Linked DNA regions of Xenopus tropicalis. Each later gene encodes a partner of the first gene's protein in a complex. Links are inferred from orthologs where the notes say so. Each region holds a gene or a part of one and is shown in the gene's direction. Other genes may lie near its edges. The genes, in order: lsm3, usp39, prpf3, lsm2, txnl4a, snrnp40 and lsm6.

Evidence for each region.
Region 2: lsm3 (region 1) and usp39 share a complex: the UniProt entries of both Homo sapiens proteins name them as parts of the U4/U6-U5 tri-snRNP complex. The link is inferred for Xenopus tropicalis from reciprocal best matches to the Homo sapiens genes LSM3 and USP39.
Region 3: lsm3 (region 1) and prpf3 share a complex: the UniProt entries of both Homo sapiens proteins name them as parts of the precatalytic spliceosome. The link is inferred for Xenopus tropicalis from reciprocal best matches to the Homo sapiens genes LSM3 and PRPF3.
Region 4: lsm3 (region 1) and lsm2 share a complex: the UniProt entries of both Homo sapiens proteins name them as parts of the precatalytic spliceosome. The link is inferred for Xenopus tropicalis from reciprocal best matches to the Homo sapiens genes LSM3 and LSM2.
Region 5: lsm3 (region 1) and txnl4a share a complex: the UniProt entries of both Homo sapiens proteins name them as parts of the precatalytic spliceosome. The link is inferred for Xenopus tropicalis from reciprocal best matches to the Homo sapiens genes LSM3 and TXNL4A.
Region 6: lsm3 (region 1) and snrnp40 share a complex: the UniProt entries of both Homo sapiens proteins name them as parts of the U4/U6-U5 tri-snRNP complex. The link is inferred for Xenopus tropicalis from reciprocal best matches to the Homo sapiens genes LSM3 and SNRNP40.
Region 7: lsm3 (region 1) and lsm6 share a complex: the UniProt entries of both Homo sapiens proteins name them as parts of the precatalytic spliceosome. The link is inferred for Xenopus tropicalis from reciprocal best matches to the Homo sapiens genes LSM3 and LSM6.

The regions. Positions count from the first base shown.
Region 1 is NC_030680.2:132,918,360-132,922,374, reverse strand, and holds the start of lsm3 (U6 snRNA-associated Sm-like protein LSm3), read left to right. Parts: upstream 1-1,215; 5' UTR 1,216-1,228; coding exon 1,229-1,249; intron 1,250-4,015. Other genes in the region: xpc (DNA repair protein complementing XP-C cells), read right to left, coding at 449-533. UniProt on the Homo sapiens protein: Plays a role in pre-mRNA splicing as component of the U4/U6-U5 tri-snRNP complex that is involved in spliceosome assembly, and as component of the precatalytic spliceosome (spliceosome B complex).
Region 2 is NC_030679.2:125,759,335-125,763,503, forward strand, and holds the start of usp39 (U4/U6.U5 tri-snRNP-associated protein 2), read left to right. Parts: upstream 1-1,369; 5' UTR 1,370-1,394; coding exon 1,395-1,464; intron 1,465-2,294; coding exon 2,295-2,370; intron 2,371-2,446; coding exon 2,447-2,541; intron 2,542-2,628; coding exon 2,629-2,765; intron 2,766-3,575; coding exon 3,576-3,728; intron 3,729-3,927; coding exon 3,928-4,153; intron 4,154-4,169. Other genes in the region: UPF0561 protein C2orf68 homolog, read right to left, coding at 1,014-1,114.
Region 3 is NC_030684.2:127,685,432-127,688,400, reverse strand, and holds the end of prpf3 (U4/U6 small nuclear ribonucleoprotein Prp3), read left to right. Parts: intron 1-1,147; coding exon 1,148-1,294; 3' UTR 1,295-2,469; downstream 2,470-2,969. UniProt on the Homo sapiens protein: Plays a role in pre-mRNA splicing as component of the U4/U6-U5 tri-snRNP complex that is involved in spliceosome assembly, and as component of the precatalytic spliceosome (spliceosome B complex).
Region 4 is NC_030684.2:75,103,095-75,107,379, reverse strand, and holds lsm2 (U6 snRNA-associated Sm-like protein LSm2), read left to right. Parts: upstream 1-1,485; 5' UTR 1,486-1,623; coding exon 1,624-1,626; intron 1,627-2,090; coding exon 2,091-2,158; intron 2,159-2,641; coding exon 2,642-2,672; intron 2,673-3,556; coding exon 3,557-3,616; intron 3,617-3,733; coding exon 3,734-3,859; 3' UTR 3,860-4,192; downstream 4,193-4,285. UniProt on the Homo sapiens protein: Plays a role in pre-mRNA splicing as component of the U4/U6-U5 tri-snRNP complex that is involved in spliceosome assembly, and as component of the precatalytic spliceosome (spliceosome B complex).
Region 5 is NC_030682.2:96,972,581-96,976,761, forward strand, and holds the start of txnl4a (thioredoxin-like protein 4A), read left to right. Parts: upstream 1-1,381; 5' UTR 1,382-1,394; coding exon 1,395-1,547; intron 1,548-4,181. UniProt on the Homo sapiens protein: Plays a role in pre-mRNA splicing as component of the U5 snRNP and U4/U6-U5 tri-snRNP complexes that are involved in spliceosome assembly, and as component of the precatalytic spliceosome (spliceosome B complex).
Region 6 is NC_030678.2:79,149,906-79,154,074, forward strand, and holds the start of snrnp40 (U5 small nuclear ribonucleoprotein 40 kDa protein), read left to right. Parts: upstream 1-1,369; 5' UTR 1,370-1,441; coding exon 1,442-1,522; intron 1,523-3,199; coding exon 3,200-3,329; intron 3,330-3,915; coding exon 3,916-4,009; intron 4,010-4,169. UniProt on the Homo sapiens protein: Required for pre-mRNA splicing as component of the activated spliceosome. Component of the U5 small nuclear ribonucleoprotein (snRNP) complex and the U4/U6-U5 tri-snRNP complex, building blocks of the spliceosome.
Region 7 is NC_030677.2:58,334,625-58,338,866, reverse strand, and holds the start of lsm6 (U6 snRNA-associated Sm-like protein LSm6), read left to right. Parts: upstream 1-1,442; 5' UTR 1,443-1,529; exon of another isoform or gene 1,530-1,706; intron 1,707-3,113; exon of another isoform or gene 3,114-3,300; intron 3,301-3,894; 5' UTR 3,895-3,909; coding exon 3,910-4,003; intron 4,004-4,242. UniProt on the Homo sapiens protein: Plays a role in pre-mRNA splicing as component of the U4/U6-U5 tri-snRNP complex that is involved in spliceosome assembly, and as component of the precatalytic spliceosome (spliceosome B complex).

The DNA.
Region 1 (4,015 bases):
ATCATTTAGCACAGAAATAAAAGCCCATGCACAATTCAAGGGCTAACTCTGCCTATCTTTTAATATTGTCCAGATGGCATAATACTAACACAATCTGCAACTGGTCTTTATTTTTTATTTCATCTGGTCTCTGAATTATGTTGTCAAGGTTTGTATTTAATTTATCTGGTTTCTAGGGGTTACCTTAGCAATCATAGAAGAATCTTAAAACCAGTATAGTGAATAGTACAGGGCTGATGCCCATAGGGTTCAATCTGCACTCACTACAGTATTATTCCCAGCCTATTTAGAAACTCTGCACAGTGTCCCCATACAGTACCTATAAGAATTAAGTCTATTTAAGTCTGTGAATTAAGTCTGTGTTTAGATTTCATTTTACGTGTTACTGTATATCATTCACAAGATGAATGAAAATCTCTATAGACATGCAGACCCCATAGAAACTCACCACCATGCAGGGAGTCTATTGCCGGGCGGTTTCTCTGCTTGTTCCCCGCTACCGCAGCACCCTCAGACCCCCTCCGCTTTGCCATCTCCCCACAATTCTACCTCACATGTCCCCTCTGGTTGTATAACCCACACAACAGGAAACAATCTGTCTCAGACAATAACATTAACGCGTCACTTCCGGAACATACACATGTGCACCCCGCTGCCAGGCCTCCGCCACTTACTGCCCATACTCTCACATTATTGGCTGAGCTTCACATTCCGGCCTCCGACACTTACTGCCCATACTCTCACATTATTGGCTGAGCTTCACATTCCGGCCTCCGTCACTTACTGCCCATACTCTTACGCTATTGGCCGAGCTTCACATCCAGGCCTCCGCCTCTTACTGCCCATACTCTCACACTATTGGCTGAGCTACACATTCCGGCCTCCGTCACTTACTGCCCATACTCTCACGCTATTGGCCAAGCGTCACATCCAGGCCTCCGCCACTTACTGCCCATACTCTTACGCTATTGGCCGAGCTTCACATCCAGGCCTCCGCCTCTTACTGCCCATACTCTCACACTATTGGCTGAGCTACACATTCCGGCCTCCGTCACTTACTGCCCATACTCTCACGCTATTGGCCAAGCGTCACATCCAGGCCTCCGCCACTTACTGCCCATACTCTCACGCTATTGGCCGAGCTTCACATTCTTCCTGTGGCACATAAATATCGCGATAGGAGAATTGTCAGGGTTCTCGGCTATTTCCTTTGCGCGGGGTTTTGAAGATGGCGGACGACGGAGAGCAGGTAGGGATGTGGGTTTATAAGACTGGAAAACAGGTTCTGTTCGGTTCTCGGCGCAGTGCGGCATAAGGGGTGCTCCTGGCCCGGTCTCGCTTGGGAACGCGTATAGGGTTTTTTTATGTTGCGGGGAATTAAGTGAATGTTTATTCAAACTGGACTGTTTTCTCTTTTATTTCAAAGCCTTTTTTTTTTTTTAATCGTGAAGCACCGGTGGAGTGTGTTTATATTCATAACTAGCGATGTAAATCTGATTAAAAACCCAGTTGTTGTGGTCAGGAGTAAAATGAAATGTATGTTCTGTGTGGCTGATGGCGTCAATATATTCAAACAATAGAAGCACAAGGCTTGTTTTAGTTTCTATACCTCAGATTTCTGAGTTTATCTCCCAATTGACTCTTGACTCCTGTTTTTTAGGGACACATCCTATAAAATTTAAGAATATACTAGTGAATTATACTCCTAGATATAGGATTGTGCTTAAAAAAAAAAAAAGTTGTTTCGGACTGATTTGAGAATCCCCCCAAACCCCACTAGCCCCGCCCATCTGTTCCACTTCCTGCTGGCTGAATTCTCTGGATGTGCAGGGGAGCCGGGGCACTCTAAGATAGGAACCAATCAGCAGCTAGGCTGACCTGATAGGGAACTGAAGCCTGTCTGTGCTTTTGTGAGTGCAGGGCTGTGATTGGCTCTCCCCCTCCTACTGTTCTTCTAGCAGGGACCGTTAGGACACGCCCACCCCTCATTTGAAACACAGACAGGGACCTGAGAGGATCTATAGGGAGCTCCAATAAAGGGGCCATTGTTACAGATAGGGTTAATGTTTAGCCCAAAATGAAACCAGCACCGGATATTATTCATAATTGCCTACAAAATGAGGGGTTTTCCCATTTATCCAACATGTCTCCTAATTTACTAATGTGTCAATCCATGTTGATTGGAAGAACACAACATACATTTCATCACTGCCAAAGCTCAGCAGTTTGAAAGCTGTATGGAGGTGGTGCATGTTTTTGGGAGCAAACTAAATAACTACTGGCTAGGCAGCTGGTTCACTACCCTATTGGCTGCCCAAGCGGGTCTAAATCTATAACCTAAGTCTGTCATTTTGGCTTTTTATTAAAGACACCACAAGCATTCCTTAAATCTAAAGTTCAAACAAGACAAAAAATGAAAACTGTAAGGTTTTAATAGCTCAGGTTACAAAACAAAAACTGTAGTACCGTGTTAGCCAGTGTCAAAAATAATAATAAAAAAACAACAAGACACAAATACAAGAGTATTGTACTTCACACTAGTGAAACTACACTCTGGGCTTTATTTATAATTAAAATACAAATAGTACAGTTACATTAAAGGTATAGTGCTAAGTGTCCTAGACAAGAGGAAGGAGGTCCCTGCCCCACAGACCTTACAATCCCATGCAGGGGAGAAAAGAAATGCTATTTGGTAACTGTAGATCAAATCTGACTGCTCAAAACAATAAAGGTGCCCATACACAAGCAGATTTTGTCATGTGAAACAACCAGTTTTAAGGTGGCCATACATGGGCTGATTCTAGCTGCCGATATCAGTCCCTTAGACCAATTCGGCAGCTTATTGGCCGTGTATGGGCATTAACGACAGGCCTGCCCAACTGACATCGGGCAGATCTCGATCAGGCAGGTTTAAAAATCAGTCTGATCGGGGACTGCATTGGCTCGTTAATGCAGTCCCCAAACAGACAGACGCCTATGGCCGTCGTCCTAATTCGGACATTTGACCCTGGGGCCAAACGACCGAATTAGCCTGATATTGCCCACCCATAGATGGGGATATTGGGAGAAGATCCGCTTGCTTGGTGACTTCGCAAAGCGAGTGGATCTTAGCGTGTAAGGCCACCTTTACAGTGAACCAATAAAATTTGCTTTATTATTAACTTATTGTTACATTCAGGGGGAAACGATTGTAAAATATACGATCATTTCAACTGCATTGTCCCAACATTTGATCAGATGGGCTTGACCGTTTTTGTCATTAAATCAGTCAGTGGATGAGAGGAACAGATCACAATCATTAGATTAACATTCCCTGCACAAGTCTTTATTTTGATGGGCTAGGTTAAGTGCAAAAGTAAACAATGGAACAGACGGGCATTGGCTAATATATGTTCTTGGAGCCAGCACAACAAAGATATGACAAGTCTTCTCATATATTGACAAATGATCAAGCAAGCTTGAGTTTAGTTGCCTGAGGACCTGCTGCCCTTCACACTTCCCCCCCCCCCCCCCCCCAAAGGTCCTGTGGATGCTGAGTTACTAAACTCATGCAAATACTCTGTACCCCTGCAAGCACTGACACTTGATTGTGTGGCTTAAAAGACTGCTATTGCTAAATATTTGCAACTTATTCACTGGAATATAGAATCAGAAGTGCCATTACTCGTTTAAAGGAAATGTAAACCTTCGAAAGACATGGGGGGGAAAAAAGTCAACTGCAAAAGTGCTCTGAATAGAGTGCTGGGCAGTTTTGAGACTGTTTTCTTGGGTTTACATTTCCTTGAAAGTACTTTTTATAATATCATAATTATAAGGAGGCTAATATATCACGGCACCATCTGCAAAAGAAAGGGGACCAGAATTTGTGGTAAAAGCAGATGATTATTACTTTGCAGCTAAGGGGTTAAACAATATACAGGCAACTCTTATGTATCCAGCAAAAACAGTTTTAAGATAGAGGCAGAAACACAGGACTAGGTTTAAACTGAAAACTATAAATTGAATCATACTAAAA
Region 2 (4,169 bases), on another chromosome or scaffold:
TTGCCCCTGCATGATTTCAGCTCAGGGGTGACTAAATGTTCTATAATGCCCAACCACTAATCACCAGTCTAGGCCCTTCCAGTGCACTCTTGGGTCAGGTGATAATCGTTAGGAAATGGCTAGTGCCCTGTTTTTGAGCATGCCCACACTGGTATATAGTAATTTTGAAAACAACCCAGAATGCTAGTAGACCAATGGCTGTGACAGTTTGACATGCAAGGCTCCTGCAAAGTTCCTAAAAGGTACCTAGTTTGCCCATGAGCAGTAACCCATATAGGGTTGCCATCTTCTGACTGGGGAATGCCTGTGTGGGAGGCAGAACGGTGATGTCATGGGGTGAGGCGGATGATGTTGGAGGTGTGGTCTATGACATTGAGGGATTTGGTGGGGTTATGACATGGCGATCGGTGCCAGGAGTTCTGTCCGATTTCCCTCATTTGGAAAATGGGGCAGGGAGTTTGACCCGGACAGACAGACGTGGCAACCCTAAACCCATAGCAACCAATAAGATATGTGCTTTACAATAGGTGACCAGTAAATTCTACCTGCTGACTGGTTCCATCAGTTGCTGCTCCTGGGAAAACTTAGTGCCTTTTATTAAATAGCCCCATCCAAGTTTAAAAAGGTGCGGACTTTAAAAGTGGGTGTGGTCACTTCAAAATCTCAACAGGAATCCGCTAGAGAAGCATGAATGGGACAGCCCTTTTGGAACTGAACAGCTGCCTCCACTGCCCAAAGGAGTTTGGCTACACAAATATTGGAATTTCAGAAGCAAATCTGTCATTTATTTAGCAAGGAAACACTAGTTCATATTTCAGTGCATTTGAAGTCCTGCCAGCTTTAGGAACACAAGTACCAGGCAATGCCATGGCAGGGATGGTATATGAATAGATTGGCCCCAACAGCACCAGTATAACCTTCATGGAAGCAGCCCCATGGCCAACACTACGTGAACAGTCTCAGTGTTTCTGCTTTTTAAAGGAAAAAGTTCCGGCCGCTGCCAGCCCTATTACCTCGCGATCTGATTCCGCCGGATATGGTGAACGAAGCCGTGATTCATATCCAGCCTCCCACCGGGCCCGGCTTTGCCCTGCACCTCCACTTCCTCCTGCATACTCCCGGCTCTAGTCTACTTCCAACACGGGCACCCTTTCAATCCCAATACCGCCCCCTAGCTACCGCTGGTAGGAACTATCCCGTCGCAGCCGATTGTAGGAGAGATAGCGATTGGCTGTTTTTGTTTCGACAAAGGCTAATGTAGCCAATCAATGCATCCCTGACATTAGCGTTCCGTGACTCGTTCCTGTTGTATAGGAAAGTGTACGGAAGCGGCGTGGGGGAGGGGCTTCAGTCCAAAGAGAGGCGAGACACGCAGGAGAGTCGGTGGAGGCAGAATGAACGCTGAGAAGCGGGTGAAACTGGAGATGGAGGAGGAAGACGACGACGATGATGATGATGAGAGAGGTGAGGGAAACTCATTCTATTGATGCGACTTGGTGTGAATAGTGTAACGGATTGATTGAGTAAAAGCGAATGAAAAAGAGTGGTGCACATGTGTTAGCGTGGGGGGATAATAAATATGTGCTTCCTCCGCTTGTGTCTGTCACTGTGTCAGAGAAGGAATTTCTCCAGGGCCCTCACCATTACTAGGGCCCCCACCATTACTAGGGCCCCCACCATTACCGGGGCCCCCACCATTACCGGGGCCCCCACCATTACCAGGGCCCCCACCATTACTAGGGCCCCCACCATTACTAGGGCCCCCACCATTACAAGGGCCCCCACCATTACTAGGGCCCCCACCATTACCGGGGCCCCCACCATTACCGGGGCCCCCACCATTACCGGGGCCCCCACCATTACCGGGGCCCCCACCATTACCGGGGCCCCCACCATTACCGGGGCCCCCACCATTACTAGGGCCCCCACCGAGAAAATATGGAATCCCCCCCAAAACAGGATCATTAAACCTGTTTTGTCAGTGCTCCGGCCATGTCTGTGCATGGTGTCCCAGCATGGTACCTCTAAAGCTGGACACAAGGATGGCTGATTGGACCATTTAGGTCATTAATTTCTGTATGAAACTAGGTTCACATTTGCTGCCACCCTCTGATCCCTACCTGTGATTTTAGCCCAAGTAATGGCAGTGTCACTCTTCCATAATGTTTTCCTGGCAATCCAAGTGTGATTTGCAGGCCAAGCAGTTTAAGTGGGTGATACAGGTGAATTGTGCATGTTTAACTTCAGAACTGTACATATAACATATATATAACACGTGCATGTAATGCTGGCAGTTGTAGGAAAGCACGGGCGGTATGACTTTGAAGACAGACGTAGTCGCCATTGCCCATATCTGGATACCATTAACAGGTCAGTCTGGTTGTTTTGCTTGGGACTGTGTTGATTATGTACTGCTCACAAATAACACTGGTTCTGTTCTTACCAGGAGTGTCTTGGACTTTGATTTTGAGAAGCTGTGTTCCATCTCTCTTTCTCACATTAATGCATATGCTTGCCTTGTATGCGGGAAATACTTCCAGGGTAAGTAAGTGGCACAGAGTGTGTTGTTCAGATGAGCCCTTATTTTGTCAAATTTTTCTCTTTTTTTTTTTTTTTTCCCCCCCCAAGGTCGAGGCTTGAAGTCCCATGCCTATATCCACAGTGTTCAGTTCAGTCACCATGTTTTCCTTAATCTGCACACACTGAAGTTCTACTGCCTGCCGGACAACTATAATATCATTGACTCCTCCCTGGAAGACATTACGGTACTTGCACATCCTCTCTTGCCCCATTTGTTTATGTGACCTTGGCATTTTCTAATATGAAGACAAAAAATCAGGATGGCCCAGTTCATATTTGCCCAAGGTGCAATCTTAGTGCCCAGTACAAGTGGTATGGCGTTCCCAGAGTTTTTAGAGTGCACTGTTGACTTATATAACACAGGTGTCGGTAAGTTAAAGACTCTTATACTCTTAGACTCTTATACTCAAGAGCAACAATCCCTTCACTAACTTGATGTGTCTATCACAACACATACGTCTCCTTTAGTGAGTTCAACCACAGCCAGCAATTAGGATGGGAAAGGTAGAATAGCATATTATCCGCAAAAGAGCCATGGATCACCTGTACTGCTCTGATCATGCAACACACAGCAGGGCATACATCAAAAAGCAGATTTTATGGTCAGTAACAGGGAAACATAAGCCCAGTGATGGCAGAAATGTCTAGCTCCACTAGCTGCCTGTTGCCTTAGCATTTTTCCCCTTCCTTTGGCTGGCCCCCATTCTTCAGTACAGTCTTTCAAAGTTCTTTTTTTTTTTTTTTTTTTTTTTTTTTTTTTTATATAAGTGTGAATCTACACATGGAAACAAGGACTGGGTTTCTCCTTGGATTGAGAACATAGATGGCCTCAGGCCATAAGAGAGAAAGGTAGCTGTTCTTACAGAAGTAAAGGGCTTTGTAAAATGTGCACATTATTTCTATACTGTCTCTGTCTGTTCAACTGTGTCACCCCCCCCCCCCCATATTAACTTTGCTTTTCATGTTTTTAGTAACTATCTCTTTGTCTTCTACAGTATGTGCTGAAGCCAACCTTCACCAAGCAGCAAATTGGTAACTTAGACAAACAGGCCAAGCTTTCTCGAGCATATGATGGTACCACTTACCTCCCAGGCATCGTGGGACTTAACAATATCAAAGCTAATGATTATGCCAATGCTGTTTTGCAGGTAGGAATTTTCACAATATACAGGGCCTGTGTAACAGTTAACCACCTCACCTTCACTGCAGCAGAGAATCATCTCTCATCTATTTCACTGGATGCCCTAACATTCATCAGTCTGAAACACTTTAAACACTTTTGCTCCCACAGACCATAGTGCAGATTTCATGGCCAATGTACACTAATTTCTTTATGGTCACTTCCAGGCTCTCTCCAATGTTCCTCCTCTGAGAAATTACTTTCTGGAGGAAGAGAATTATTGTGATATTAAGCGCCCTCCTGGGGATATCATGTTCCTGCTTGTGCAGAGATTTGGGGAATTAATGCGCAAACTGTGGAACCCCAGGAATTTTAAGGCTCATGTCTCCCCACATGAGATGCTCCAGGCTGTTGTTCTTTGCAGCAAGAAAAATTTCCAGATCACCAAGCAAGGTGAATATCTCCACCC
Region 3 (2,969 bases), on another chromosome or scaffold:
TGCATGGAACAGAAAACCTTCTGCTAGGGTCACTGAATTTAAGGCATTGTTACAAAGATTCCAGAAATTAGTGAAACTAGTCTCTAGTGGATTATACAAATCCATTTTAGATAAACTTAAAAACCTTGGAGCAGAATGTCTCTATAGCTAAGGTCTGAATGTGCCATTGAGTTTATTGCAGAAGTATACATGTAGGAGCAGACCTAGCCACTGAGTATACAGTCAAGCCCATTCTACCTAAAGCAAGTTCACATTTGTAAACAGAATAGGCGGAAATACTAAATATATGTATTGAGAATGAAACTTAGTAATATACCATTTACAAAGATTTCCACAGGAAAACTACACCCCCCAAACAATGTAGGTCTCTATAAAAATATTGCATAAACAAGCAGCCCATATGTAAAACCCTGCTTCATCTGCACTCCTAAATAGAAAATTGCCATTTTAAGTACTAAAGGCTGCCCCCAGGGATCATAGGATTCACGGTGCACACAAACAAGCCAAGGCACACATAAATGCTAGGCCCCATCAGCCAATTAATGGACAGAGTTCTGCCTTTTGCTCCCACACTACTTCCTGTTACAGTTAGAGCTGCATTATTTCCTGTCAGCTGATCTCTGAGGGAGCACACAGCCCATCACTAAATTGTGGCTCAAGGGAAAGGATGTAAAAGGGTAATATTTACTGATATACTATCTATCTATAACTATCTGTTGGTTAAGTATTCATTCTGGGGGTATAGTTTCTCTTTAAAGGTAAAAAAAAATGCCCTTTTTGACATTCAGTTGGGCTTCGGTTAACCTTAACCTTTAGAAATAAATGTATATTTATTTTTACACAGCTAGACTTCAGAGTAGGAATTCAGAAGATTCTGGGACATGAAGTTCTCTGCTTTGCAGAGAATCTGTGCACTTCCCAGCATGGAAAGCATAAGAACTTCAAGTCCCAGAATCCATCACTTCAACATGGAATAAAGAGAAGGAAAGGTTAAATGCGTGCCTAATGGGGACAGGGGGGTATGGTCCATGCAACTCAGAGGCTGACTGTCATGGTTTCCTTTCCTGTATATCTGCATATAGAAACAGAGCTGAAGTGCCTCATTTCCCTTCCAATTATCATGACAAATTTTCTGATTGTTTTTTAGGGTACAACTAAGGAACGCAGCTTTGGAGACATGAAATTCAAACAGTGTCCCACAGAAAATATGGCTAGGGAACATTTTAAGAAACATGGAGCAGAGCATTACTGGGATCTGGCGCTTAGTAAGTCTGTTTTGGAAACTGCAGACTGAAAGCAAGTTCTGAGCCTTACAACACTGCTGCACTTCTCCAAACAGAAGGAAAAAACAGACTAGGACTATGAGCGCCTTAACAACTTGCAGCGCTCGCAACTAAATCTAGCTTGAAACACACTGTTTCTTGCCCAAGCAAAGTTATCCTTCTCTTCCATCTTACTGTAATTCTGGGTAACCTCAAACACTGCTGCCGACCAGTTTAACCATAGCAACCTGCTCTTGTCCAGCCTTTGCTCACTGATTGTAACATAAATGACAGCCACTCTGCAGCCTTTACCCCTACCCCCAGTTTTTTTTTCTTTTCACATAAAAAGGCTTTATGCTTCAACTCTGAAGAAATGCTGTTTTCAGAATGATTTATTTTGGTAAAGATAAGCCTTATTTTGGTTGGTTCATACATGCAAACAGAAAAAAGAAAATGTAAATACATGGGAAGAATGAAAAACATAGACCATACATAATGGGAATTGGGATTAAGCATTCAAACAACTCATTACAAAATCCATATGGTTAAAGGAGAAAAAGATACAGAAGCCAGTAGGGTGTAGGTAGTATTTGTAGCCTAAGTCCACCACAGCCCTTTAGCAGTAAAGTTCTGTGACCCCCTATCCTCTTTTCTGCTGATTCACTGAGCATGGGCAGTGCCACTGACACTCATTAGATGGCTTACAAATATCAGAAGATGGAGAGCTACTGTGGACAAATTGGAAGGCAAGTGTCATTACTGTTATAGCTGCTAAACCTCTGGGCTTGCACAGTAAGTTAAGTGTTTAGAAGGCAGCATTTTAACCATATTTGTTCTTAGTTCTCCTTTAATTCAGAGAAGCATCCTCTAGTGTTGAAAACATATGCATTTTTTCCAATTCAACTTCATAATTCCTTGGTTTGTATTAATGGTTTAAATAGTTTCGCCTTACAACCGGAAAGGTTGATTTTCAGCTTTGCGGATAAGCTCCAGTTTACATGGATTCATCAAGCACCCTGGACAGGACAATTGGCAAGAAACCTTATCCTATAGATTTGACTCCATGTTTCTTTATTGTGGATTGGCATTCTGTTGGCAATTTGTTTTGTTTAGCACAACAGAACTTCAGAGTGAAATTTATAAAGTGGAGTGTAGGAAAAGGGGGATTTAGCCCTAAACCTATGACATAATAAACTTTTTTTTTTTTTTAATTGTTGTGAAAGTTTTTGTTGGTGTAATTTCATCATGTGCGGGGGGGGGGTAGCTGTGTGTATGGCTCTTAATACATTAAGGTGCTCATGAAACTGGGACGGAAGCAAAAATGTAAATGGGATGCTGCTATTCCATACATTTATTGGGCTCACTGCTGAAGTACAAATGTTTTGGGAGAGGAATAATTCTCCACTCACCTCCCAAAATGTCCCGACCAGTGACTTGGTTATACAGCACCATTCATATAATATTCATGTCCGTCCCTATGTCTGTGCAGCTCACAATCTAAGGCCTATATGTCACACAGATTTTGGTCAGTTTCATCAGGAGCCAAAGAACCTGGCTGGTTTTGAAATGTGGAATGAACCAAAGTAGCCAGAGGAAACCCATGCAGACACATGGGAGAACATAGAAATGCCTTACAGATTGTGCCCTGGCTGGAATTAAACCTCTGACCCCTATACTGCACCCAATAAAGGTTTAGTACAGCACATT
Region 4 (4,285 bases), on another chromosome or scaffold:
GCCAAGTTAGGACCTGCACTTCCATTGCACTCTCCATCCTTCCTGAGCCCAAGCTGTGGGACCTGTGCGCTTGCAGGCTTGGGTGGGAGGGGTAGAGCTACAAAACAACCTGGACAGGCGTCCTAAGGTGCACCAAGTTCCTCCAGTCTCCTTGTCTTGTTTTGTCCTGAGATAATTACCATTTTTAAATGAAAACTGCAATGTCCCTACACAGACCAATATGGAACCGACTTATATGAAGGGTAAATTAAAGGAGACATATTTGATAAATGGGGAAAACCCTAATTTTGTAGGCAATTATGAATAATATACGGTGCTGGTTTCCCTTTGGGCTAAACATTAATCCTATTTGTAAAAATGGCCCCTTTATTGGAGCTCCCTATAGATCCTCTCTCTTCTCTGACCATGTTTGAAATGAAGAGTGGGCGTGTCCTAACGGTCCCTGCAAGAAGCACAGTAGGAGGGGGAGAGCCAATCACAGACCTGCACTCACACAAGCAAAGACAGGCTTCAGTTCCCTATCAGGTCAGCCTAGCTGCTGATTGGTTCCTATCCTACAGTGCAGTGTATAGAGGGCCGCTGGCTCCCCAGCTCATCCAGAGAATTCAGCCAGCAGGAAGTGGAGCAGATGGGGGGGACTAGTGGGGTTTTGGGGGAATTTCTCAATAAATCTGTCTGAAATACAACTTTTTTAAGCACATTCCTTCTATATCTAGAGGAGTATAATTCACTGGCACATTCATAATTTTTATAGGATATGTCTCCTTTAACAGTAACTAGCCCAGGTATGGACAGCGTAACTCCTTTTAGCTATCTCGTAACCCTCATGCCTTGTACCTGGAGTTGGTAATTATTGGTCCTTAACATTACAATTGATGTTTGTTGTGCAAGAACTGATAGTTTGTGTTTGTGGGTCAGAATGCAGTTCCAGCCTCTGTAGTTACACCTGGAATCCAAAGTTGTTTAATAAACTGGTACAAGGGACATTTTCTCTGAGCAGAAGCTCAAAAAGGGCAGGAGGTGGGCAAGTGACAAACCAAAGGTTAGGGATTAAAAAAATACAAAAAAGGGATCCAAAGAACAAGGAGAGATAAATCTGATTCTTGTCTGACTGTCGCTAGTTTGGCCCTAGGTTAGAATTCTGCTGGCAGAAGAAACAATAAAATAAAAAAACATTTTAAGGTTGGACATTACAGATCTAATGTGGAGTGCCTAACCTTAATATAGTTCATTTTTATTCTACTGTTTCATAAACTAATCTATACTTTGTTACACTTAGTACCTGCTCCCAGTTTATAAAACCTGTATTTTTTTTAACGTATTTTAGTTGTTCAGGGATAAAATACGTTTAGGGGACTTCTCAAGAAAGTTACATGAAAAAAATGTTTTCTGTCCTCGCGAGATCATGATTGCGTCATCACCGTGGGACCCATTCATTCGGCCGGTGCCTGAAGCCGGCGCGCAAATTCCTGCTGCTTTAAATTCTCGCGAGATTTATGCAGAGGCGCTAGAGCGGTGAATGAGCGGAAGGCATTTGGTGTGTAGATCTGTCGTTGTCAGCGGCGTCTGTTTTGTTCTTCAGTTTCCAGATAGAGCTTGGGTGGTGCGACTGCAACAGAAGCAATGGTAACCGCTTAAGAACACTAGCGTTCCGTTACTGTTTCACGTTTTGTAGGGTAGAACCTAAGGAGTCGATAGCCATGTATTTTGTGGTGTACCAGCGTATACAGACCTGTTTGGCAATCAGTCCCCCCCCCCTATAGTCGCAAGGTCAGCTTTCTGAGTGGCCATGCCCTGCTTTGACGTTCCATGTTTTGCCTATACCAGGATTCTGGGATTTGTAGTCTTATAGCAGTGGGAGGGCTCGAATTTGGCCATCCCTGCTTTGCAACAACATTTCAATCATTTGTAACCTGATGTTAGTTGGACAGAACAACTTGTCTGTCTCTGTTATTGTTTGTGTCTTATGAGAGAACATGCTTTGCCTTGATCTGTAAAGGATCTTGGCAACATTTGTTATGTGATGTGCCTTGGGTAAGCTACAGGAGAGGCAACTGGTTTTTATAACTACTTGTTTTTATCATGTACAGCTATTCTACTCCTTCTTCAAGTCTCTTGTAGGAAAGGATGTGGTGGTAGAGCTGAAGAATGATCTGAGGTGAGTGTTTTGCCCCATGTTCTTTCTAGAATTGCTTCCCCCCCCCCCCCCCCACATGCTATACAGTCAGGCAAAAAGCTGCCACTGGTACATTTCAAGAACCTAATTTCTGTACTTTAAGGGATGTGACACACGGGGACATTAGTCGCCGCGCAACAAATCTTTCTTGTTGCGTGTCGACTAATCTCCCTGTGTGTCACAGCCCTTAAACCTAGTGCAGTGTGTGCAGTTGTGCTTTCTGCACTTGTGATGTGCCCAACACAAAAGAGGTAAGCACGGTGGGTGCAGCAGCACTTAGAGTCCCCCTGACCATTGTCAAACTTTAGAGGGCAGAGTGTATTGTGTAGACAGAATTTATAAAAACATTTTCTTGTGCTCCTGTAGACTTCACACCCTTAAATAACCACTTCTTTACCATTTAGCCATCTTTCATCCATTTAGCCTTTTGTTGCACTATTACATAAATGGTCTTATCTCTTGCAGTATCTGTGGTACTCTACACTCAGTTGATCAGGTAAGTAACTGAGCAAATATATAAATGTAGTTTATTTTCTCAGCATAATTATCAGCTCAGCCATGTTGTCACTTAAGCCTTGCAACTGAAATTGGCATAAAATCTTTCAGTGCCAGGGAAAAATGTTGGGTTGGCAAAAAAAAAATGAAAAAGTGAAAATTTTCTTTTAAATGACTTTACCATTACTGAAATTTCCACAACGCTAGGTTAAATTAAACCCTAGCAATCAGATAGCGCCTACAATTCCAAAATGGAGAGCTGCAATAAAAAAAGCTAAATTTAATTAAAGACTGCGATAATGAAGACTAGTTGCAAATTGTCTCCAATTATCACTGTCCACATCATACTAAAAGTTCATTCAAAGGTGAACAACCCCTGAAGGGACAGAGCCTTTAATAAAATGTACGCATCCTGCAGAGTATAATGTCAAACCAGGGAATATTTATTAACATAATTACTACAAGATTCTCCAAAGAGAATATTGCTCATATTTTTTTTTTTTTATACCCTAGAGGGCTTGTTTGCATAGAGGAATATCTCTGCTCTACCTGTTATCGTAGTACCTTTTCAGGTGTCTGGTGCTAAACAGTCTGTAGACCCACCTGCCCAGGGTCAAAGATGCTGTAGCACACTGATCCGTTATTGTGGTTGCATTAAGTTGCACCGACTCTTGCAATGTTTTGGGTCACTCTCAGACTGGCTGAAATGTTCCCAGTAGATGTCTGCTAATTAAGCCAATAAATCACTTTATTTAATGTGTGATCAGTGTGCTACATCATCTTTTGCATTCTGCATAGAGGAATATGTCTTGGAATAGAACTTTTGGGGGGAACTTGTGTTTTTCATTATCTCAAACAAGATTTCACTTTTTTTTTTTTTTATAGTATTTGAACATTAAGCTGACTGATATCAGTGTAACAGACCCAGAAAAATATCCACACATGGTAAGCTTTTTTTTTTTTCTTTGTATTTTTTATCTGCACCAGTAAACTAGATACTTAGCTTTTAATCCTGCTTTGAAACACTTGTTAATGTAATTATTTAAAAAATTTTTTTTTTAGTTGTCTGTAAAGAATTGTTTCATTCGGGGATCTGTGGTCCGCTATGTACAGCTCCCTGCTGATGAAGTAGACACTCAGCTTCTCCAGGACGCTGCACGGAAAGAAGCTGTACAGCAAAAGCAGTGATGTACAAGAGCTAGAAGGATGGAAGCAGGTTCACAAGCAGCACTAGGTGTTGTCAACTGCCTATATTTCTATAAGGCCAAATATAGGAGTGAGCAGCAACTTGTTACCTGTTATACAGGTTTTGCATTACATTTCTGTAAGAGACCCACACTTTTTTTTCTCATCCTAGTTCTGGAAACTTTTTTAAGTGCAGTGACTTGTGTGTTCACTTTAGAATCCAAGCAATGCATTTTGCTCTGCAAAGAAGTGGTCTCAGATAAGCAGAGTTAATTGGGAAAGACTGCCCTAACTTTTTTTTTTTTTTACTTAAATAAATTTTGTGTTAAGTCATCAGCTCATGTTTTTTTTTTTTTTTAGTGAAGCTAGTTCCTTCTGTTTGTATCTGCCTTTCTTAATTTTGTCGTAATATGATTTTTACTGGTTTAA
Region 5 (4,181 bases), on another chromosome or scaffold:
CCCCATTTTTAAAAAAATACCCCTTTTATATAGATCAAATGGCGGGCGCAGATGAAAATGTGCTATACCCTCATACTGAACGACCTAAGGAAAACAATATAGCAACTCCTACATTAAAATACAAATATAGAGAGAAGGCAGTCAGTTATAAGTGAGTTATAACTAAGTACCAGTTTTGCCCCCCCATACACAGTGCCCCCATACACAATAGTCTCCCATACACAGTGCCCCAATACACAGTACCCCCCCCAATACACAGTACCTCCCATAGGCGCAGCCTTCGTCTGCGGCTTTGTTATGCCTCTCCTTGTGCAGCGCGACAGGCCCTTTTATAAGGTTGCGCTCCGTGCGTAATGACGTCACACCCACAGGCGCAACCTTATAAAAGGGCCTGTCGCGCTGCACAAGGAGAGGCATAACGAAGCCGCAGAAGAAGCAAGAACATCTGGCTACAGCAAGCGCATCCCGCTGTGCCGGATAGTTCCATGAATGTCCCGCAATGCGGGACATTCATGGAACTATCCGGGACAGCGGGATGCGCCGTAAAAAGCGGGACAGTTGGGGGGGTATGACCACAACCAGGAACTTAAAAGCCTTATTTCTCTGTTCCCTGTGCCTGGCATAAGCTAAATCTATTTAAATTTAAATAGTCTAGTCTAATCTAGTTAATTTAAAGGTTCTGTTGGGGCATAGGCTCTAGCTGCAGCTACTGGGCTGTGCATATAAAGAAAAGAAACAGCACATGTTCAACTCAAGTTCCATCTTCCTTTGACATTGGCCTCAAGGCAGCTACGTGCTGCGTAACCACGTTTATAGTATTGATGTGACGTCACCTTCTCGCGAGATGAGACTTGCGGTGCGTTGGCTCGCTGTACGGCAGGAAGCGAGGGGCTACACGGCAACAGCACCGCAAGACTTTTAAACAACCGTACGGGACTGCGGACTGTATTAGTTAAATCAGCACAGTTGGGTGGTATGTAGCCTATATATATATATATATATAAGGCTTTGGGGCAGCTTGTTGGTATAACTCAGGAGCTTGCTATTGATTCACATGAATTTGCACCAATACTCACCCAAAGTGGCCTTCAGGCAATCCCCCTGCCTCTACTGCAGCCCCACATTTCCCAGATTCATGTCGGATTGTTACGAGCAGCATTACGCTACAATTTGTATCCTCATCTGTAAACTATAATCTTGGGGGATACTTCGGACTCTTTAACCATTAAAAATATTTAAAATTTGCCCAGATAATTTTTAATTGAAAGTATTAGCATGTTAGCCTGTCAGTGTAGATGGGAGTATGTTTGTATCTTCACGCATTTGAGAAAAGTGTTTCATTTCTTGCAATACTTCTTTTCTTGTCCTTTTAGCTTTAAAGCAAAGCTGCCAAAATGTCGTACATGCTTCCTCATTTGCACAATGGCTGGCAGGTCGACCAGGCAATCTTGTCTGAGGAAGACAGAGTTTTAGTTATACGTTTTGGCCATGACTGGGATCCAACTTGTATGAAGATGGATGAAGTTTTGTACAGTATAGCTGAAAAGGTAAGATATATTTATAGCAGTGTATCGAAGACCTGCAGGTCAGGTGGGTTTGGATTAAAAAAGGTTCAGGCAGGTAGAAGGTCCAGATGCCTGTATGTATGGGCCTGCCGCCTTATCCCCTACACCTGCCTCTAAGCATTCCTCCAGCAGCTGCCCCCCCCTTTGGGGACATAAGTGGTGGGGACCCCCCACATGTGTGATTTCTCTAGCTGGTTCAAGGCATAGTTAAAAATGGTTTGGCAGGAGTGGGTCTTTTTCATACATATTAATATAGATTCAGGCCTTCTCCTATTTATCTTCAAGCCAGTGACTGGAACCACTGACTGGTTACTTTGGTCAACACCCCTACTAACCAAATAGCAGTGTAAATAAGAAAATGGAGCTCTACAGGAAACATGTTGATCTAAAGTCACAACCAGGAGACAGAGGGTTATGGTGATGCCGCTTTTAAACAGAGTATGGAGCATATTCAGCTTGAACTTAGGATGAAGAAAGTAAAGGCTAATGCACGACTCAAATACATTTGCAAATTTAAGAGAAAATAACTAGGAAATGCTCTAGTGGTAAATTATTCTATATAAAAAGGGGATCATTTCTTTTACCAGTTTAGTTGGTGATCATTACAGGGAGCCTTAGTTTAGAGAGAGGGGTAGAAGAGCAAAAATTGTGACATCATTCCATCAAGTAAGGGTGCTGTGTAGGTTGAGGCCCCTTGGAATATTTGTTCATATGTTTTCTGAGAACGGTGGGGGTCATTTATCAACACTGGGCAACTTTGCTCTTGAATAGTAACTCATGGCAACCAATCAAGTTGTTGCATTCATTGTTCTAAATGCAGTTAGCTGAAAAAGCCAATCATGGATTGGTTGCTATGGGTAACTGCCCAAAGGCAAATTTGGCCAATGTTGTGTGAGTGCTAATGATTCTACATATGGAACCTCAAAGATTAAGTATTTTCATGTTTGGAAATAAAGAAAAAACATAGAAAAGGCGAGATTCTGTATATTCTGTGTTATTTCACAGGCATCCCAAAGCACATACACTGCCTTGCTGTATTTGCGTTCGAGGTCTACTGTCTGGGGTGATTGAAGATCACAGGACTGGGCCCATTAATCGAATATCTTGTGATGAAGTATGTTATTACTATATATCTATTTTGGTATTTGCCTACATTTTTAGTTAGAACATAAAAATATAAATGTTAAAGTGGACCTAAACACCCCAAAAGAAATTAATGTAAAATTGGTAGTATGCTCTTCTGAGCACTTTTATAATGTACACTGATATAATGAATTTAAAACTGCAGTGCTCTGTTAAGGTAGTTACTGAGCAGAGAGGTTTCCTTGGTCAATGATATTGCCTACTGAGTAACTCAGTAACATCATTTTATGATGGCCAGCTGATCAGAACAGTAGGGAGCTGTGTGGTTTCAAATAAATTATATTATTATTGCAAAGTGCTTATATCTTAAAATGTTCAGTGTAAATAGTAAAAGTGCTGAGAAGAGTATTCTGAGCAGTTGTACAGTATTTTGCTTTTTGGGGTGTTTAATTCCCCTTTAAGTGTGTGGAAATTGTTTATTGATTATGGTGTTTCTTGTTACCTCATCTATGGTGCCGTAACTGCTGTTTTGAAGGTATTTCTTCTGGTGCAGAGATAAGCTAGGTGCTTAGTGCATTACCACATGGCTAGATCATGCTCCGAGTGATAAATGGTGCATCATATATGCATTTCTGTTATGCTGACTTGTGTTCTGTCTGTATCTAAGCTTTTGGCTGTTGCTGTTTTTTAAGTTACAAAATATTTTATGCTTTTTTAAGACTGTTCTTACATCAGTGTTGGTATGAAATATTAGCCTGCTAGGTCATGATGAAGGCAGATGCTGAGTGACAGCACAGTTAGCTGCATTATTTGGTTAATATCTGTTGCCTGTGAAAGAAAGTTATCCATGTGATTGAAGGATCTTTTTTAAGGGGGGGGGGGGGGGGGAGTATGATTTGTATTTTATTCCTACAAGTTATGTTTTAACATTTACCAGTCAGACTGTACAGTGCTGTATTCCTTCACTACAGTGTTTTTATCTTCTCCTTCACAGCTCTTTTATTTATTTTTGGATTTTTAGAGATTAGTTAACATTTTAGTTATTAGTTATCATTGTATAAAAACTCACCCTTTAATAAATATAACTGTAAAAATGTTATACAGTTGTATTGAGAGTTTTGAATTTCTTTCTGGGGAACTGTGTCAAGCTGTATTTAACCGCCATTTAGCACTCCAGAGAATGTGTTTCCACTGTTCTGAAGTCCAGTGGCGATGGCATTTACAACTTTTGTTTGCAATCACACTTTATGCTGTTAGTTTTGTTTGCCTCTGATTGGCCAACAACCCTTGGTGGCATTGCTTCCAGAGAACTTAGCAGCTCTGCTGTTGTGTAATGCTCACAACACACATAAATAAACACTCTAATCCTCAGAAGTCAATCACTTTTATTTTATTTATCCTTGGGGGGGGTCTGTTTGGATGAAAACCACTGATTAATCTGATTGCTTCTAAAAATGATTAAAGGAAAAGTAACACTAAAAGTAAAAAAAAAAGTAAGTACTAAAGTAAAAAATCTATTCTACCTTGCTCCAA
Region 6 (4,169 bases), on another chromosome or scaffold:
ATGTCCACACCTTAATAAATGACTGCACTTATTACCCTCCCATTCATGTGAATAAGTTTCCAACCTTCTTAGATGTTAAGACAGGACAAAGAACTCATTCTTCTTGTGTCTCAATGTGTGGCACTCAATCTCTTTAGCTGCTAATATTTTATTTATTGCACTGTAATATAAAAGTATTGTAAAAAAAAAAAAAAAAAAAAAAACAATTGCATATAAAATTAGAGTCACATAAAGATATATATACAAATATGTATATTTCGTAAGTCTCTGAATAATGAGATAAATACGCATAACATAGGGCAGGGACACTTTCATTCTTTTTCACTGCAGGTTCAAACCCATACACTGTGTAACTGGGTCACTGTGACAATAGATTTGTAATACCTTATAGTAATCATGGCTGCTACAACACATAGGGCTAAGGAAGTCACCCGAAGTTTCCTCTTAAGGCAACTTAAGGCGACTTCAGAAAATCGTAGTGACGCATATGCCATCCCACCGGCGATTTACATTCCTGCTGGTGGGATGGCATAGCAGGGAGATTAGTTGCCCGCAGCAACAAAGAATTGCTGCGGGGCGACTAATATACCCGTCTGTCACCTCTCTAAATTTACAAATACGCTTGTAAATGTGGCTCTATGTGCAGAATAACATATGGCCTTAATCCTTAGCCTATTTACTAGCGTATAAGCCAATATCACCAGTGATGTTGCACATAGCAAACAATCAGCAATTAAGAGTTTAGCAGTCACCTAAAAGTTAGAAATCCAAAGCAAAGATCTGATTGGTTGCTAAGGGCCACATCACCACCAATGATGTCGACTTACACACTATAATAGATATGCTCCATATAGAAGAGAAAGTGAAGGCATGTCCAGCCTATGAATCCTTCAGTGTGCGCTAACAGCATGTAAGGCACCTAAAGCCAACAGCCCCTTTTACTGGAGTAGACAAAATTACATGTGATGTGCCTAAAAAAATTGAATCACCTGCAGAGAAATATCAAGCTGCGTTAATAATGGTTTATGTAATAGCCTATTAATCTTCTTCTAACTGACTTGTTATATATTTTACCTTTGATGGGCCGCCATTTCGCTGTCTCCTCCCCGGCCGATCACATTTAACCAATTACAACAACTTCTACGTCATTTTCTCTTTCTCCTGTATCAGCCCAGTTGCTTAAACATCCTTATACGCGCAACCCCGCCCATCGTACGTCATTACTAATGGACAAAATCGGCGCAAGCTCTGTTCCGCCCCTTAAAGGCTTTCAAGGTCACATGATTGTCTTAGAGCCAATCACCACTATAATCTTTATCAGGTAGTGACTGCGCAGGATAATTGCGTGAGCATCCTGCGCTGCTGAGTGGGAACGCAAGCGAGTCTTACAGTGTGGCTGGGTTTGTGAGTGTTAGACAAGCTGGAAGGAGTTCTTGGAAACATGATCGAGCAAAACAAGCGGAAGGGAATGGAGTTGGTGCCGGTACAGGCAAAAAAACCGAGGAACGAGTTGGTGGTTTCGGTAAGAATGAAGAATTTGAATGAAATGGTTGGCTTGGATAAGTGTAACCATTCATTCCTTGGGCATATTTGACTTGGACTTTAGGTAAAATTATAGACATAATCTAAATCGTACCATTATTTCCTTTATTAAAAGATTTAGACGGTATAAGAATAAGCTAAAAAGTGTAATCATAAGGCTCTAACGTCTGAACATAGGTAGGGGTATAATTACTTATAGTATTGACTCGTCTTGTGCACCCCACACAGCCATTAAGGACCTTGTGATTACACTTTGCTACGCTAATGGGTTGTGGTTTTTCGTTTATGGGACTTTCTAGTTGTTTTAATGAAGGTAATCAAGTTAAAGTTTTCTTTTTTAAAAAAAAAACTTTATTTCCAAAAGTTATAAATAGTAAATAAAAAGCTAGTATTTTTACTGCTATGGGACTTTCTCTTAACCCATTTTCATGCCTTTTTTCTGAAAGGGGTAGTTCAGTTTTAAAATGTCCTTTAGTATAGTGTAGACAGCATGACCTTAGTCTGTATATCTGTTTCTCATGTTTTAGTTTGATTATTTCTTCTGCGCCTCTAAGGTTTGTTTGTTTAGACCTCAATTCTCCTAGCAACCAAGAAGTAGATTGGAACTCAAAATGGCAAATAATTAGGGAAGGATCTCAATAGACTGATAAACAATAGGCAATATAACAATAATACTAAAACTGAATTTTAAGGGGAGAAAATATGCCAAAGAGTAGTTAAAAGAATACTGACGTGGAACGTGTCAGTATTACTGACAATGCAGCACTTGGTTGGGCTTCCCCCAGCCCAAACACACTTACCCCATCCCAACACTACTACACGCAGAATGTTACTTTAACGAGTTGTCTGTCAGTCACACTGGCCTCCATGCAATCCTTCCAACGGCTGGAGTACAGTTTACATTTGTATTCCTGCCTATAGAATGATGGCACCACCCACAGCCCGCATGTCTGCAGGGAGCATCTCTTTATCCAGACTGCTGGCTTAAAGGAACAGTAACATCAAAAAATTAAAGTGTTTTAAAGTAATTAAAATATAATGTGCTGTTGCTCTGCAAAAAACTGGTGTTTTTGCTACAGAAAAGCTACTATATAAATAAGCTGCTGTGTAACCATGGGGGCAGCCTTTCAAGCTTGAAAAAAGGAGAAAAGGCACAGGTTATGTAGCAGATAACTAGTAGATCAGCCCCATATAATGGGGGTTTATCTGTTATCTGCTAAGTAACCTGTGCCTTTTCTCCTTTGAATGGTTGCCCCCATGGCTACACAGCAACTTACTTATATAAACTATAGTAGTCTTTCTGAGGGAAACACACCAGTTGTAGCAATGCAGGGCAACAGTACATTATATTGTAATTACTTTTATACACTTTCATTTTTTGGTGTTACTGTTCCTTTAACTCTGCCTGTGGTAAGTGTGACTGGGCTGGAGGAGATTTGGGGTAAATCTTCAATAAAAGCAGTAGTGTTGTGCTGCATTATGGGTAATACTGACAAGTTCCTTACTGTTATAGGAATGTGTCAGTGCCCCTTTAAAATAGAATAGAAATGGTAATTTATAGAATACTAAAAATTTAAGGTGAATAAAATATTTCTTTAGGTAATAAATGGAACTGAATCTACTTTGATGTTTAATTCTCTGAACTTGTTGACTGCAGGGTCCCCCAAGATCATCCAGTCTTCAGGCTCCCATCATGCTGCTTTCTGGTCATGAAGGAGAAGTTTATTGCTGCAAATTTCATCCCAATGGTGTAACTTTGTCTTCTGCAGGATTTGACAGACTTATCTGTAAGCAACTTTCACTTGTTTTATACGCTTTGTATTTTGCAGCTGTTTGACTTAGTAGCAGATGTTGTTTTTCATCTGTAGAATCACACAATTAATTGGCCATCTATACGTTACTAATTAAGGATTAATCTGCACCTCCTGTAATTTTGTTATGCTTTTTAGCTCCTTTTTAGCACATTATCACACTATACAAGCTGTAACATTAATTATGAATGTTACAACTGATCAGATTAAGAAAGTTATGCAGGTATGTGTTATTTTATTTTTTCTTTTCTTGTAATATTTAATCAAATTAAATAAGCTACCATGTTTTGGCAGGTTTGCCCAGCAGGTAACTTATTCTATTAAACAAAGCAAGTAAATTTAGCAGCACACATGAACTTCTTTGTAGGTATTTAACTGATTTGCAAGAAAACTGACACCGTCTGAATCTGGAATTTACAAGGAATATGAAACCATTTAAACTTTAGTTTTATGCTGCATTGTACATTAATAACAATTAGAATTTGAATCCAAAAATGAAGCTATGTATTTTACCCTTAAATTGTGAAGTTATTGAGTGAGTTTATTTTGACTTGCCTTGTAGTGCTATGGAATGTATATGGCGACTGTGACAATTATGCAACTTTGAAAGGACATAGTGGAGCAGTGATGGAGCTTCATTACAATACAGACGGGAGGTAGGTAATTGTCTGGTCTGGGGCTTATGTAGTCATTTTTGTTTTACGGGTACTGAAAACTATCCTGTGTATTACACATTGGTGGTACTAAATTATGCATACTAATTTCTGTAAAATTGCAAAGACCAGGATGCCAGACACTGTAATATCTTTGGTTTAT
Region 7 (4,242 bases), on another chromosome or scaffold:
GTTGGTGAGCAGATTATTTATTTAGCTGCCAAGTTCGCTTATTCTTTGCTTATTTGGCTAGCTATTAAATTAATTAATTCATTTATTTGCATATCATATTAGTTATTTTCATTTTTGTACATTTTAATTCCTTCCGAGGAATCTTAAACAGTTACGCTCACAGAGCGTCTCCTCATCCCCTATGTTTGCATGGGTGGGTTCATGGCAGTTGCAGGGCAGATTCAAGTTCTGGATGTGAAAGCTAGTTACCCAGCAATTACCAAATGAATGAAAACAAAAAAAAAAAAATATTGTATAATTGTTTATAGTTATAAGCAGAGAAGACCTAAACAGCAATAAAGACAGGTATAAAGTGACAATTTAGAGGAGTGAGTGAGCTTCCCCCACACCATGCTTATAAACAATTTGCAGGATTTCCAATTTGGTGTCAGTCACTGGCCTCTTGGTGACTGCACATATATTTCTTAAGGTGCCCACACACCTTCAGATCCGCTCGCTTGGTGATGTCGCCAAGCGAGCAGATCTTCTCCCAATATCCCCCACCTACGTGTGGGCGATATGGGGAGAATCCAGGCTAATTCCCTGGGGCCAAACGATCGCATTATAAAGACGGGTATAGGTGAAGTCGTTCCAGGGACCGCATCAACGAGCTGATACGGTCCCCGATCCAACTAGATTTTTTAACCTGCCCGATCGATATCTGGCCCAATTTCAGGCCAGATATTGGTCGGGCAGGCCCATCGGTAGTGCCCATACACGGGCTGATTAGCTGCTAGAATTGGCCCGTGTACAGGGACCATTAGGTGCCATGACATTCACCACTTTAATAAGGATATTTGCAAATACATGGTGTACAGCAGGTAATGAATCAGTAAAGATTTCAGATGAATAATACCAGGCTCCAATTGAATAATGTCATGCCACACACAGCTTATCAGTATTAGTAATCATTTTTGATGCTAGTGACATTTTGTGTGGCTGATTAAAGTAAACTGACCCTTCAATCAGAAAGGATTATATGGGAAGTTTCAGAAAATCAAAGTAGCTTACCATAAGTAAAGTGCATGTGCCTGTATAAAATAGATACAAAAATAAATATATGTAAAATAAAAATACGTATACATTTGCGTCAACTCAAAGAAATGTATTACGTTTAGCAAGTAAGAGTAATGCTGAATCAGAACACGTTTTTAAAGTTGGAGGCGAGGTTTCTTTACTAGAATGACTTATAATGGCATGGTGCAGGGATTCAAAGCCATGAAACATACAGGATATCCCAGCCATTACTACATACAAGAGGTGCAGAGGAGCCACAGCGCCGCCTCTCGCCCTGATTGGACGCATCATTTCCCGTGTTAACGTCATCGTCCCCTTTTGACCCCCGGTAGGCGGTGCCTCATTCAGGAACCCGATTTACTTCCGTACGGCGCACACGGCTTTCGCTTGTTTTTGGATTGTCCTGAGACGGACACCGTAAAAAGGGGTAGGAAGGAGAGAGGCGGGAGAAAAGGCATCGCACGGGATACAGGGTGAGAATTACAGGGTGGCTTATGGCCGCCTGTAGTATTTGCATTGATGCACACCATCTAGTATGGTTAGTGCTCATTACGTTCAGAGAAAAGTAGGTAACAACAATAATTAACCTAAATGTGTGGCTCCCGCGGTGTCTATGCGAAGCGAATTCTGGGAGTTGTAGTTCATCCCAGGTGTGTGGCCGCTGCATTACATTGGGATTGTATTATGTATTGTTCAGCTATAATGTTTCGAAGTAGATTTGCTACAGGCACCCTTTTCTTGATACATATTTGTATTGCTCCCGGCAGGTGGGTATTGTAATTCCTGAGCAATATACTGATTACCAGCAGGCTGTACTAGAGGGGCTCAGTGCCAAGTACATGAGAGCTCCTCTCACAGGGGCTGTATAGATCTCCCTGCTACATCAGAGGGATGGAGCTTCTTACTTATAGATTTAGAATCATTTGTAAGTTTAAGCCCAGCTACAGTGTGTCAGTGTTGGGCTCTAGCCCTAATGTATGTAAGCCCTAATATATCTATGTTATCAGTGAGCTTTTCCACTTAATATTTTATTCTGGCAGTAACCAACATGCTTGAGGCTGTCACTGACAGATTTCCTCTGCTCTAATTGGCTGATACCAGCATGAGTCACATTTGTATCAGACTGCTGACAGACACCATGGTGGATATGTTTGTACAGGTATGGGATCCTTTATCCGGAGACCCATTATCCAGAAAGCTCCGAATTACGGAAAGCCCCTCTCCCATAGACTCCATTTTAATCAAATAATTCAGATTTTTTAAATTGATTCCCTTTTTCTCTGTAATAATAAAACAGTACCTTGTATTTGATCCCAACTAAGATATAATTAATCCTTATTGGATACAAAACAATCCTATTGGGTTTAATTAATGTTTTATTGTTTTTTTAAGTAGACTTAAGGTATGAAGATCCACGTTACAGAAAGACCCCTTATCCGGAATACCCTTGGTCGCTAGCATTCTGGATAACTGGTCCTATACCTGTAGTAGGAAACGTTTAGGCTGAGGAAGCACAGTATTTCTTAGAAATGATAAGAGACACTGAATAAAAACCTTTGATAAATACAATAATATATCAGGGAATTTGAGGACTGTGGAGTCGGTACATAAATCCTCGGAACAGTAACACAAAAAATGAAAGCATATAAAAGTAATTAAAATATAATGTACTAGTGCCCTACACTGGTAAACATTGTGTGTTTCCTTCAGAAACCCGAATATAGTTTATATAAACAAAGCTGCTGTGTAACCATGGGGGTAGCTGTACAAATTGAAAATAAGAAGAAAAGACACAGGTTACATAGCAGATAACAGATAAATTGTGTAGATTACCATTGTACCATTCTAAAGCGTGCATCTGTTATGTAACCTGTGCCTTTTCTCCTTTTTTCTAGCTTGAATGGCTGCCCCCATGGCTACACAACAGCTTATTTATATAAACTATATAGTCTTACTGAAGCAAACATGAAACTTTTACCAACACAGAAATACCCAATCTTAACCCGCCTGCTCCCAACCCTACCCGACCCAGCTTCTTCCCTTTATTTATAGACCTACTCCCGACCCTCCCCGCAATGACATCACGAAGGGGTGGGGCATGTCGGGCGCGCACCTATAAATTCCCAAGCTGGAATCGGAATATCAGCATTGTTAGGTCTCGGTCATGGAGGCTGACCGGAAGCACTCAACCCGAAGCCCACCCGCGACCCGCAGGTGATGTGCCAAGGTCGGCCTGACCTGCAGGTATTGGGCCAGCCCGCACATCAATAGTGCCCACTCCTTATTCTGCTGTAGACACTGAGGAATACAGAGCCTCCAGTTAGCTGTGATTTAACCCTGTTTTAACTGCTTTGTCTTCTGATTTTTTAGAACACATCTCTTATAGTGCTTTCCTGGCTTTCCTTTTAAAGGCTAGTTAAGACGAAGATATTTCTAACCAACTGCAGGCGAATGGATTGTCATTGCTGTTGGTTAAATTTGGTGGAATAGTTTAATAGAAAACTAAAGTTTAACATTTCTAGCCTGCTTCTTTTAGAGTTTAGTGTTTGTAGAGTTTATATTCTTTAAAATAGGACTTATACTCCACAATGTTTGCTGTGAATTCTGGACCAAAGCGGCAGTCTATTTGTATACCATATCATAGTGCAGATTTGCCAGTTCTAATGCACTAATCTGTGCTGTTAAATCATCAAACTGACAATAATGACCAACTGCAACTGATATAAAAATGCTGGTCTGAAAATGTGAATAATATATAATATCTGTAAAGCACTGAGGAATATGTTGGCACTATATAACAATAAGAGAATTATTTTGTCTTGAAACCTTTCTTTACAGTGAAAGGGAATTAGAATGAGCCTGCGCAAACAAACACCGAGTGACTTCTTAAAGCAGATTATTGGAAGACCAGTGGTTGTAAAGCTCAACTCTGGAGTCGATTATCGAGGTAAAGCTTAAAGTAAAAGGCAACCTGAATTCCTTTTATATCTATCTTTTATCAACATTTGGAATGAGGATTATGAAAAATGTATTTTTACAAATTCATTCTGGCTCTGTTTCATGTCCATGTTATAATACGTATTTTCCCTCACTTCAAAGTTTGCACATTCCAAAGCAATACATTTTCCCACAGATGCTGCTTAAATTTAAATATGCAAATCAGGGTTACGTTTGGGTCGTATTCTT